3 linked regions of the Drosophila melanogaster genome follow. The protein of the gene in region 1 purifies or fractionates together with the protein of each later gene. This does not show direct contact. Each region holds a gene or a part of one and is shown in the gene's direction. Other genes may lie near its edges.

What was found. The genes of interacting proteins can lie anywhere in the genome.
Region 2: the proteins of Argk1 (region 1) and CG14315 purify together in Drosophila melanogaster (affinity purification with mass spectrometry, with the first as the bait; one large-scale study listed by BioGRID). This does not show direct contact.
Region 3: the proteins of Argk1 (region 1) and Mf purify together in Drosophila melanogaster (affinity purification with mass spectrometry, with the first as the bait; one large-scale study listed by BioGRID). This does not show direct contact.

Annotation. Positions count from the first base shown.
Region 1 is NT_037436.4:9,063,024-9,067,714, reverse strand, and holds the start of Argk1 (arginine kinase 1), read left to right. Parts: upstream 1-1,687; 5' UTR 1,688-2,007; intron 2,008-3,197; 5' UTR 3,198-3,207; coding exon 3,208-3,251; intron 3,252-4,691.
Region 2 is NT_033777.3:18,156,920-18,159,971, forward strand, and holds CG14315 (uncharacterized protein), read left to right. Parts: upstream 1-1,781; 5' UTR 1,782-1,850; coding exon 1,851-2,504; 3' UTR 2,505-2,552; downstream 2,553-3,052.
Region 3 is NT_033777.3:15,177,271-15,182,135, reverse strand, and holds the start of Mf (myofilin), read left to right. Parts: upstream 1-1,865; 5' UTR 1,866-1,928; intron 1,929-2,785; exon of another isoform or gene 2,786-2,814; intron 2,815-2,955; 5' UTR 2,956-3,006; coding exon 3,007-3,097; intron 3,098-3,646; coding exon 3,647-3,856; coding exon of another isoform or gene 3,857-3,915; exon of another isoform or gene 3,916-4,865.

The DNA of each region.
Region 1 (4,691 bases):
TCCGGAACTAAGAACCAGTATAAGTACCGACCGGACCATCTGAAATGAAATGGCCAACGAGAAGAATTCAAAATGAACTATAGGAGATCGGATCAGATCCAGTAGTAGCTAGCTTAGCGGGTTAACGAAGGACGAACGCGGGGGAACCAAAGTTTTGAACCGAAGTGTTTGAGTGAATCAACAGCGTGCGGAATTAGATTGATATTCCAGTCAGGATGAAAAGTGAAGATGAGAATGATTCAAATGTTAAATTATATATCGATATGTAGTAAAATAATACACATACAAAATGCACATAGCTTAAAATATATGAAAGCAAGCGTTTTATTCAAAGTCAATTTCCATTTGATTTGCAATGATTATGTTTTGTGCAAGATTTTAAAGCTTAATCAACCGAGGCCAACAGCAGTTTGTGTGGCATATGCAATATCATTACAATGTAAGACAACCAAGATATATAAACCAATTAAAGCGTAGCAAACAAAATGCATTCAATTGAAAAACCAATAAAAAATGTTTGAAACTTAAATCAAAATTGTGCTCCTAATTATTTACGGAAGGGGCTCGAAAGTTATCCTTTTCAAGTGCTTTAATCTTTATTTTCGTTGCATACTTCATGGGTTGTGTTATACAATATTTAGTGCTGTAGGCCGAAGGTAGCCGATTAAAAGTACATAATTCGTGATAATAAAAACTTTTTGTCAACAAAAACAGAACACCCACACTCGCAGGAACTTCCGCTGAGCAACGCAAGCGCTCCAGGATGTTTTCGAGCTTTTCTCAGTCCTTGAACTTTTGACCTTGTTTCTGGTCGCCTTTCTCGCTGCCGCGGTTATGTAAGCAGCTGTACGTATCATTATGCAACCTGGTCCACGGGATTCACGGACTCTGTGCGCTTGCCATTGCATCTTTGCCGTTGCAGTGGCTCTCAAACTGCAGAGTCTTCGGCGAGCGATAAGACCCCAATCATCATCACCCAGGCCAATTAAGTGGGCTTTGCAAAATAGATAGCGCTGTTGAATGAATGACTGAACAGTACGCTCGAGTTTATTATCTGGATTTATTTGCCCACGACAGACAACCGGCGAAAGGCGTCAGCAGCGCTTTTTCGACCAAATTTGATAGTTTTGGCCTGGGCCAAACGCTGCAGTAAGCAAAATAAATAGTAAACATTGAACTGATAGTGCCAATTGGAAAAGTGACTCGTCCAGTGCCCAAAAACTGTTTCCGAAAATTCTTTTCTTTTATTGATTAGGCAGCCTTTTGACCAGGTTCAACGCGATTATTGACACATAGCGGTGGCATAGCGTAAGCCTATGAGTAACATTCCGAATCGGAGAGTACACGGAAATAAATATTGAAATCGTGCACAGAGAAAAATAATTAATTAGTTACAGAAAATTCATAGATTTACTATTAGTTATTACTACATTGAAATATCTACATTTAATTATTTGCTAGTGTCCTCTAATAAATATGTATATCCTTTATAGTAGTTAACTCTGAACCCTCTCTGTTGGAATCTGATTAAAGTCTTCTAAGTTTTTTTCGGGTGTACCTGGCACAGAACCCGTGGGTTCGTTGGGAAACGAATCTCGTGAGAAAAGCTTCGTCGCAAGTGCAGCCACAGCTAGGAAACATTGGCGTCGGCGCTCTCCGTGCTCCCCATTCTCTTTGGGGCTCTCTCAGTTGGATGCCGTCGTAGCCGTAGTCTCGTCGCTTTTGCCGCCAGTAGAGCAGTCGATTTTCGCACGGAGCACGACAGTCGAAAAAAACTTGAAAGAAGCATTCAACAGCAGAAGAGTGCCAGTCGAGAGAAAATTAATTTTGTACCTTTACTCAAAATCAAACAACACACAATCGAGACCAGTCCTCGATATTTGACCAGCTGTGAAGCATTTAAACGAAACGAACCTTTTGATATACGAAAAAATCGAACGGAAAACCCTCCGGAAAAGCACTTGCAACTTTTTCTAGTCGTTTTATTATCCAACACAGGCACAAAAGGTGAGTGCACGCAGAAGGGGTCATGCTGCAAGTCCCCAGTTGTTTGTTATGTGTGGCATGCTGCAACAGTGAATGAGTGTTATGGGAATGAGTGTTCTTAGGCACCACCACCCACCCATTTTCCACGCCCCAGCCACCCACTCATACGTTTGCCGTGCGATGTGACGTAACTGTCAGAGTCTGAGTGTGCTATTACCATCGCAGATTGCTCATACGCCGCGTGTGCAAAAGAAAACAAACGCAGACGGAGCTTCATGGTGAATTTTGCTTGCCTTTGCTCAAATCCGAGGGATAAACAAAGCTCAGGGGACTGCAAACAGTGCGCAAAATAATCATATTTAATTGATCGATGGCAGCACTATCTAAATTTAGAACCCTTTCGACCATTGGGCGCCATCCGGTGCACAAAAAGTTCCCCTTTTTCCGAATTGATCTGCAGTGCACAGAGGAAAATTTGCAATTTGTTTGCTTGTGAGAATACATATTAAATGTTATGACATATCTTAAAAATAAACTTTGCAAACCAAATACTAGGCAGGTGCCTCAAATATTTCATATAAAGAAACTTTCATTTATAACTTTTTAATTGAGGCAAACTTTAATAATGTTGGCGTTAGTAGGCTTCAATTGGGGAGGAGTTTAAATAAGAAATTCAGAAATTCAGAAATCAAATTTATGACAAAACATTTTCATTTTCCCATTTATGAGGTTTTTTCTGTGTACTGTTTCCCATCTCTGGCCGTTTGCCCAAAAGTCTCGACTTCACGTGCCTCGGCGCTCAGCGTTCTGCGAATTTGGCATTCTGCATTTTGCATTTGCAAACCCATGCGCGCTTTTGTTTATAAATAAACCTTGAATAATGCCGGCATATATTCACTGCTGTCTTTTCGCCTGTTCAACTGTTTTTTTATCTGTGTGCCTTGGGTCTTAATTGAGCTCTGGCTCTCTGGAACTTACTTTTCTGATGAGCGCCTCGCTCGATTGAGTTTTTTTTTTTTGCATTGCTTGACGGCGACGTCATTTGTTGCGCTTTTCGAGGTCGCTGGGTGAATCAGATTCAGTGCCAGTCCAACAAGTGCATGTGGTGTGGAAATTGCCATTTATAGTCCAATTAATTCGTATACATTAGCGGTCAAATTGCTTTGAAAATCACTTAACTATTTACTCATTCGATCTTCTCTCAATTTCAGCTAATACAAAATGTTCGCTTTGTGGTATTTAACTTTTGCTGTCGATGAAATACGGTAAGTGCAAAAGGGGTTTTCCACAGTTTGGCAAGCACTGCTGTGCCCCCCACAGGGCGGATGAACGTTTTGTGTTGCCTACTTTTCGGCTGGGTAGTGTTAATGGTGAATTGTAGTTTGGGGGCGTAATGAGATCCTTTTTGGAGTTAAGCTTAAAAATATTCTGCAATTCAGAAAAAGGTCTAAGTACGTTTTAAATGAAAAGTTTCTGGTATGTGATTCGAGCTTTGGGGGATTGGGTAATACAAATAAATTTACTGGCTTTTAATGGTTATGCAATGCTAATAACAACACCTTCACCAAGCAAAGCTACTTTCTTGCATTTCATAAATCTTGGCGATAACAGTAGTCGCACTTTTGGGACGCAATCATTGCAAACCCGATAATCTTATCGCTATCAGTTGTTGAATTAGACCAATTTAGCTCTACGTTTCCGTGATCGTTATGGTTCGAAGGTGCTAATGCGACTGTGTGTATAATTTTCCTGCATTTGGCAAGAAAGTTAGTCACCGAGCGGTGTCACATGATGAACTATCTGTCCGTTTTCCCATCTCCCACTCCCCCGATCTCGTCGAATACCCCAGCCCATAACAACCGGCTTTTGTGGCTCTAACTCTCATTCGTGATAAGTGCAATCGGCTGATCGCACACATTCAAACATTCTCTGATTTGCACATGTGCAAAACAAAATTCGCATTTTTTTGGCAAAAAAATAAAGAAAAAAGCGTCCAGTTGTTATCTGCCGGCAATTAGCGTAATAACAAAAGTGATAATTGAAGTTTGGAGCGGTATTAGTTTTTTTCGTTCTCATCCATACAGCCGGCATTTGGGGCCGGTATTTTGCCGATTTGCCGATTTTATGCCGGGTGGAGCTCGTTTGTTTGCTTATCAATTTGCCGCACGAGTTTTTCGTCAGCTATTGCCGTTTTGGCCTACGTGACAAGAGAAATGACGACGCCGGCCCAAAGAAATGGGGGAGTGGAGAAAGTAATTTCGTAACTGGGGAAATGGGTGGGAAATAAGAAATTGTGGTTACAGTTCTAAATTACTGCCATTTGTGGGCATTAAAGCACTGAAACATTTGCGTCTAAGCAACACGCCCACCAATAGGCTAACGCCTTTTGGCAAAGTACAATAAATAACTGGCTCTATTTTGTTTTCTTATCTATAGGGCATTATAAAAGAACTATGATTAACTCTATAACAAAAGCTAGAAAGTGCAGTATTTTCATACTTTTCAAATTTAAATCAATTTCAAAAACCAGGGCTGCCTTAGATCCTTCCAGTGTGACTCTACGAACTACTAAAAGGCTTCATTTACTTTTAATTATATTAAAATGCATATGATTTACTGCAATTACTGCATATTGAAAAATCGTTATTTGCGACTATATTTGTTTTCAAATATTTATCGAAATGTTATGGAGTATAGGGATACAC
Region 2 (3,052 bases), on another chromosome or scaffold:
AAGTTCAACTTGAAAAAGTCGCAAGTGACTACTGTGCGATCCCTGGAATCTCAAGCGGGAAAAAAATAAAGATAAAATGTGTACACAGGTACATACATACATATGTACATACATATATGTATTTATGTACGTAAGGAGCAGCTGCCCTCTTTTGTTGTTGCACTTAAAGTCGCTAAAATGCGGTGCGTTCGCTTGTCAAAATTGCAGCAGCATTCAGCCTTTTTTATGTTAAGAAGCCACAAAGAGATGACGCAGTCGAAATGGTTAAATGAATTAACCCTTTTACTTTGCACAAACACACACACACACATGTGCTTGCAACAGGCAATACAGTGGCTACAACAACAATAGCAGACAGGGCTTTGTGATTTTTCTGGCCGTTCTTGTAGTTTTTTGCCCAACACACGGATTAAGCTACACCCTCGGAAAAATATTCGACACAAAATCACGCGATTTAAACTAAAAAATAAATAAATAACACAATTGCGCGGAAACTTGGGAATACACGGCGCTAAGGATATCGATTACTTATTACTTATTACTTTTTATCGATTCGCATCGTCGGAGCATTCGCAGGGTACTGCCAACTTATCTCAATTTCCTAAAGGTCATTGAACTCAAATATATATATAAAAAAACGAATGTAGCATTGCATTTATAGCCATTGATTAATATGAAAGGAAAGTATGTATAAAAGTGCAACCAGTATTTGAACTTGCATAAGTTAAAAATCAAAAGTTAGCTTAGGTCCTATGATTACACCAATCTATTTGACCAAAGTACATAATTAAATATTACATCCAAAATTCAATTGTTCCTGTACAAGTGTACTAACTTTTTGGCGTTTCATGAGCGGCTCGTGTGTACAAACATTTATTTAAATGCTTACCCCCACCCCGTAGCCACTTCAGATGAAGCTGGAGCTGGAGCCGAATCTGAAGCTTGGAGCTTGAAGTTTGGAGCACGGTGGAGAATTGCGCGTAAATTCGTTGCGGTCTGCGCGTCATCAACGTAATCGCCGTCAACAGCAGTCAACAGCATCAAACTGGCAGGCAAATGTTGCTACTGTTTCCAGACGCAGTCCGTCCGGCCAACAGAAGCAAACGAAGCAACAGAAGCACCAACCGCCGCAGTGAAGTGGTTTTTTATGATCAGACGAGATGAGCCGAGCCCAAAGCAGCACTTTCCATCCGAGAAAGAAACCGAGGCTACAACAAAAGCGTGTCTTTCGAGTTCGCTAATGGGAACTACATATATGTATGTACATACATATGTACATTCCGGGTACAAAGTGCATTTTGTGGAAACCCTTTGGGCAGAATGTAAACCATTAACAAATTGTAGCAGACCTATGGCCTATACATTTCTTATTTGTTTTAACTGTTTTGACTCTTATAAATGAACATATTTTCAAGAATCTGAATTAAATTGTAAATTAGTAGAATGAAGCTCTTTCGAAACTACCTCGCTTTGCTCCTTCCGTTTGATCATTTGACCATTTTTGACCATTTGCTTTAGGTTATGGCATTTTGTCCATTTCGTATTGGTCATTCGGTTTTGGCCATTAATTTCGTTATATCATTTCGTTTTTGTCTTGCTTTGGTTATTTCGTTTTGGTCTTTCATCTTAGTCAGTTCGTTTTGACCATTCGTTTGGGCCGCTTATGTAGTTTTAGCCAAATCTTTTTGACCAAATTGACTTGAGCTTAGTTCCTGGCTCTACATATTCTGTTATTTTTTTTTTTTTTTAATTTTTGAGCTGGAATTAAAGCGTTTCACTTCAAACATAGTACACCTGTCGCACAGACTTATTGTAGTTAGTTTTGTCAAGCGTTCGAAGCGACTGCAGAAATGAGGGTCTACTTGTATCAAATGCGCCCGGTGCTCTTTCTCTTCTACATGGTGGAGACGACGGCCAACTTATTCGTTTTGTACTACCAACTGAAAGCATTTGTTTTCGTCAATCTGACAACGATGAAATGGGAAGATGTTCTAATCCAAAGCTTTTATATGTCCTTCTTTTACATATTCACAGTGGTAACGCTCTTTGCCAGCATAAATCTCTGCACCGGTCATCGCACATCGATCGTTGAGGAAGTTGTGCGTCCTCTGATCGGATTTGTTCTATATACGGTAATATCGTTGATGGCACTGGGCGATGCCGAGACGGATTTCTATATATGGTATGATGGAAGGAACCCGGATGATTTACTATATCCGGAGAAGCCGCTCCATCCGTTCTTCGGTAGCCTGCGGGACCAGGCGACAGCCTCATTGGTGTCCAGTGTTATCTATCTGCTGCACTGCCTCATTGCGTTGGATGTCCTTCTGTCGAATGACGATTCGGATAACGAACGCGAGTCATCCAATTCCTCCGACGATGTGAACGAAGAGGTCGACTACGTTCCAGTGCGTCTGTACGTCTTTGGCGGCGTGATGCAACGCTGGCTGGAGCAGTTCGACTGGTTTCAGGACTTTACCCACAGTGGAGTCACAGATATCTGATATTTTATCATTAACTTCATTTATACAACTACAAATTACATGATAAACAAAACTTCGCATCGCTTTTCTCGGTGATTATGCAGCCTTTGGATTTTGGTTACATTCGGTGCAAGAAACCCTAATCATCAGCATTCCCATGACGTCAGTGGGAAGCAACAGTTCGGTCTCTGCATCATATAAAGCTCATTGTCGTCAATGTGCCAGTGATAAGCAGCTGGGGCCAAAACATCTACATAAGTACGCGTATCTATAGTATCTATGTATCTTGGTACGAGTATCTGTATCTGCTAGTGCGCAGGTCCAAAGTTAAAGCGAACAATCGATATATGTACTATGATGTTTGGGGCAAAGCGGCAGTCAAGAGCAAGGTGAAGCATTGCCCCGGTGCTCCTGGGTGTGGTGCTTTTTTCATTCATAAAAAAAAACTGGTCCACATGACATGTGGACACATTCAAGGCTATTTCTAGACCAGACCAAGGATGTCCTTATGCCTCTCATAAACTATGCAATATGATTAGAAAGTCTGAATGTTTAGAATTAGTTTTATA
Region 3 (4,865 bases), on another chromosome or scaffold:
AGTGCGAAAGTAATAATATGTATATAATTTATATGCATTCACAGTGCATTTGACTTTCTGACAGCTAAATGTCTGCTCTCCTCATCTGAAATTAAATGCAGTTTGCAATTAATTTGGGTATAAACTGCGATATAAAATATGGCGAATTTGCGAAAGCAAATTGTTTGACGTTGCTTGCATATGTGCCCTCTAAATAATGAGCTTACATTTTGACCCCATTTCCCAAGGGACATAAATTTCTCTAAGATAATTATTTTGTAAGCCGCTAGGCCAATTAAAATATTTTTAAAATAACTAAATTTTATTTGAGATTCCTTTTAAGGGTATGCAATTCCTAGCCAATTTTTGTGTCTCCTTGAGCAAAACATCAAAGATGTTGGAACAAACACAATCAAGCGCCAATAAACTAAAATAAATTAAAATGAAAAACCTGAAAAAAAAACGAAAGTAAAATAAAAAGTTGCTCAATTCATTGTTCTGTGAAGCCAAAAAAGTGTGCCAGAAAGTAAAAGTTGAATCACATCACCGAAATCACTGATTGGCCGAAAGAAAAACCTTTGCCAGGTATTTCCCAATTTCCCGTGAGTTTTTGTGCATTTTCATTTGATTTTCGATTTGGTTCATCAAACCGCATTCGGTTCATTCAAAGTCAAGTTCAAGTTTAAATGACGCCGCCCGCCTGTTTAAGGGTAAAATTCACAAACAAGATTTATATAAGCTAAACAAACAAAGTCAAAAGAACATTTGGATGCAAGTGCATTTGGCCTTGAGTTTATCGGCGGAAAAAGAAAACACATGCAGGAAATTCTGTAAGCGATCTGCACGATTGAAAAGGTCAACATGATCTCCATGAATGTATTTACTATTATTAGAAACATATGTACTCCCAGATCTGCCCTTCAACTCGTTTCGATGTAATTGTATATGATGGGGGAAGCTTTACCCATCTTTGTTTATTCGTTTTCGTAGGAATTTCCCTGGAAAATTTGTGTTTAGATTATCAATCATTGGGTCGCACGTGAGCAAAAAAGATATACCCTACAGGAGGGTATAATCGAAAAAAATGAGTTACTAATGTTTTAAATAATCAATTAACGGCAAATTTTACATAACAAGCTAGAAAATATCAAACTATTCATACAGATTTCATTATAAATAATATATTGTGTGCTTAAAGTATCTATTATTTGGTTAAATGTATCTGGACCAGTTTTGTTTATTTACCTGTGTGGGCATGTTGCTGGAAATGATTTTTCCATTATCAGGAAACTAAATTATAGCTAATGCCAAAGCCAAAAGAAAACATAAACAAATAAACGGAATTTAAATGCTTTTATGGCAAAAATTCCATCGGCCTCTAACCACATTTTGAATTAGTTAGTTACAAAAAACCAAATATTGTAATGTATTAGTTAGAGCTTATAGTTCACTGATCAATTCAATACCACAAGTGACGCCTTTCCCTTGAAACATTCAAAGAATATGTTAAAATTATGAAAAACCATAGGAAAAACAAAAACAGAAAATAGGGTGTGGGATTTTCTGAAAGAAATATGGGCTCATATGTATTGTGTATGTGTGGTATGACTTGGCTGGCTTTCTTTTTATGATCATCGCCAGCGTCATCGCGATTTCGGTATTGAATCGTTGCAAACAATGAGTGGGTGCCACCACACGATCTATCAGAATGTGGTGGGAAAGCTTTCCCATAACCAATCTCCGGAGCTTTGCCACACAGATGCGATGAAAATCGCTCACGGATAGAGCAACCTACGCCGTAAAGGAATGCGCCGTGCTTTTGGTGCCGAAACGGAATGGCAAAATTCTGAAACGAGGAAAATTGGTGAGGCGAATTTTCTTGGGGTTTGCAGTTTGAAAAAATTCTTCGTTGAGGATAGATCGCTATTTTTTAGGAGTAAATTTAAATTGTAAGCGAACCCGAAACATATTAAACAACATACAACTGAATAGTAAATTAAATAATTATAAACGAAATGAAAAACAATAAAATCAAATTAAATAAAGTGCACCATCACATCTGAATGTGGAGACGAACAATTAACTGGTGAAATAATTATGGAATTATGATCGCATTATGAATGATCCGATATGTTCCATAGCGAAAAGACATTGACTATAATTATATAAGAGAGATCGTACTCAATGACATTTGATACCGAAGTGTTGGAGCTCATCAAGAGTTTGTGCAGTGAAATATAAAAAACAAAAATCCCACATTGAATTAAATTCAAAATTAATTTAGTTTAATGGATAATAAAGGCCTATTTTAAACATACTTCAACTAAATTGTTCTTAGACTTTGCACACTTCTTCGATACTTAAGTAAATTCCGCTAAAAGCCAGAATAACAGAACGATTTCAACTCAAGGACATTTAAAAATAAAACCCAATTTAGCTGCAGCTTACACACAGATACACTTACATCCACTCACCCATTTACACGCACACACTGACGACACCTAGAATATTTGTTCTCATACTCAGAAGTGTGAAATTTGCTATGCAACAAAAAAATATTTTTATATTCGAGCAACCAGGAGAATACCACGATACATGAAAAATCACAAAAACCGAACCGAAATATATTTATTTTTAGTGAGATTGATCTTGCGTTAGCTGCTGTTGCCCGATCGCGGTATTATATTAGATTTTATGTATATGTTTTATAAACTTTGCACTGCTCTAAAGTGGCACACAGTCTGTTTATTTTCGAACCGAGAGACTTTCAACGCGAAAGCAAAAAATTCAACTGAGAAAACATCCCATCAATCGAGAGACAAGCGATTCGAATTCGTGCGTGCTGCCTGGCATTTCCCGGGAAATAGATTAAATTGAAAACGGACAAAAAAAAAAAATAAAATAAAATAGGCGGAAAGGAAATTTGAAACACATTGGAAAATTGCTAAGCCATCTCTCTTCCCAACTTTATTACAGCGAACGAGTTCAACGATTTTTTCGTGAACAGAACAAAACAAATCGATCAAAATGTTCAAAAACCACTTGGAAATGATTGGGCGCAATGAGAGCCCCAGCAAGAAGGCGAAATTCTGGCAGTCCTACATCAGGTCCCTGAAGGGTAAGCATTCACTAAATAAGCTCAAAAATTACATTAAAAGATAGGATAGTTATTCAAAACTACTATTGATTGCTTAGTCACAATAGTAGGGAGTTTGCATAGTTCCAAAATAATTCAAAAAACAATTGAAGATTAACTCGAAGTGTTCCCATTTCGATATGATTAAGGGACACTCAAAAGTGATATTATTAAACTCTGGTCGCCAGTGAGCAACACAAATAGCTTAGCCTATATGTGTATAGTCTATTTATTTTGGCAGGTGTCATATCAGCCAAGCTATATACTTAGACACGCTCTGCTGGGAAAGCTTTTCGCCATAGTATATTCGAATATATAGAGAGAAATTTGTAAAATATATATGCTCAGGCCTTAAACAAAGAATAGGCTAAAATATAGGATACACATACAGGGGGCGCATCTATGATAGAAACCGAATAGAAATCATACATTTCTGCAGCGCTGGCATTGAGCCAAATAGTGAGAATAGAATAGCCGAAATATTTGAAAAGCAATGAACTAACGCGTCGTTATCCAAACAACTATTTATAGGCTCCGAGGATATCCGTGCCCACGAGGCGCCCCGTGCCTCTCGTCCCTACAGCTCCTACCTGGACTCGCCCTCCTACAGGAGCATCTATGACGAGCCCGCCACCGCCAATGAGCGCGTCCAGTCCTCTGGCTACAGATATCTGCCAGTGAGCCGCGACACCTACGGCTACTCGCCCCGTGCCATCTACGATCATCACTACAGCCGAACAAGTAAGTTGGTACCATATACGGACCACATACTGTACTATCTACAGCCGATTCCCGCCTAACTGCTTCACACAGCCGAGTATCTGTATCTTAATGCTTCCGAAATCGGTGGCCTTGCAAATGTGGATATTGAACTAAGATATCCTGTTATTACCATTTAAAGTATATTTCAAATAATATAGATAAATGATTATGATTGTTTACATAACAAATTATCCGCCATGAAACTAAAAGATATTTTTAACATTCTTGAAACTGGAATAGTAACATAGATGAAATTCAGGTTCAAAAGTTTATGTCAATGCTTTCAATCTAGTTTTTTAGAAAAAAACGTTTAAAATTTTAATTAAAATTTAAAATTAAAAAAGGCAATCACCTGATTGTTATTTGCAAGGTTACATAAGCTTCGGTCCATCCGAACGCCACAAGTTCTTTCAGCCTTTCTGCTTCGCTTCGATGCGCCATCCATCAATCAGTCAGTCAGTCAGTCAATCAGTCAGTCAATCAGTCGAGTCATTACAATCATCTTACAACTGCAATCTCGCCACTGCCTGCTATTGAAGCTTTTGACAACACCTTGAATATCTCAAAACCGCCATATTTTTATGCGTTTCATTTGAGATGAAAACTGGTGCGAGCGCTATGATTTCATAAATTTAAAAATAAAAATGGACAGCGCCAAACGGCCAAATACAATTACGTCAATGAAAATTTTCGTTTCGTATCGTTTCGTTTCGCCTCGGTCGTGTTGATTTTGGCAAAAGGCCTCAAAAATGAACAAAAAAAATAAAAAAAATGAAGACAATAATATAGGCAACACACACAGGCGCTATATATCAAGTCAGGTATATAAGCGGAATTTTTGACTCAATTTTTTTTTTCGGTGCGTGCTCTGGGATCAAATGACTGTGGCGGCCCTCGGTGCGCGGAAACCGAAGTTCTCTTTTCCGATTTTCCGAATTTCCACACACTCACACACTGGCAAAAGCCCCAAGCACCCAAATCCGAACAC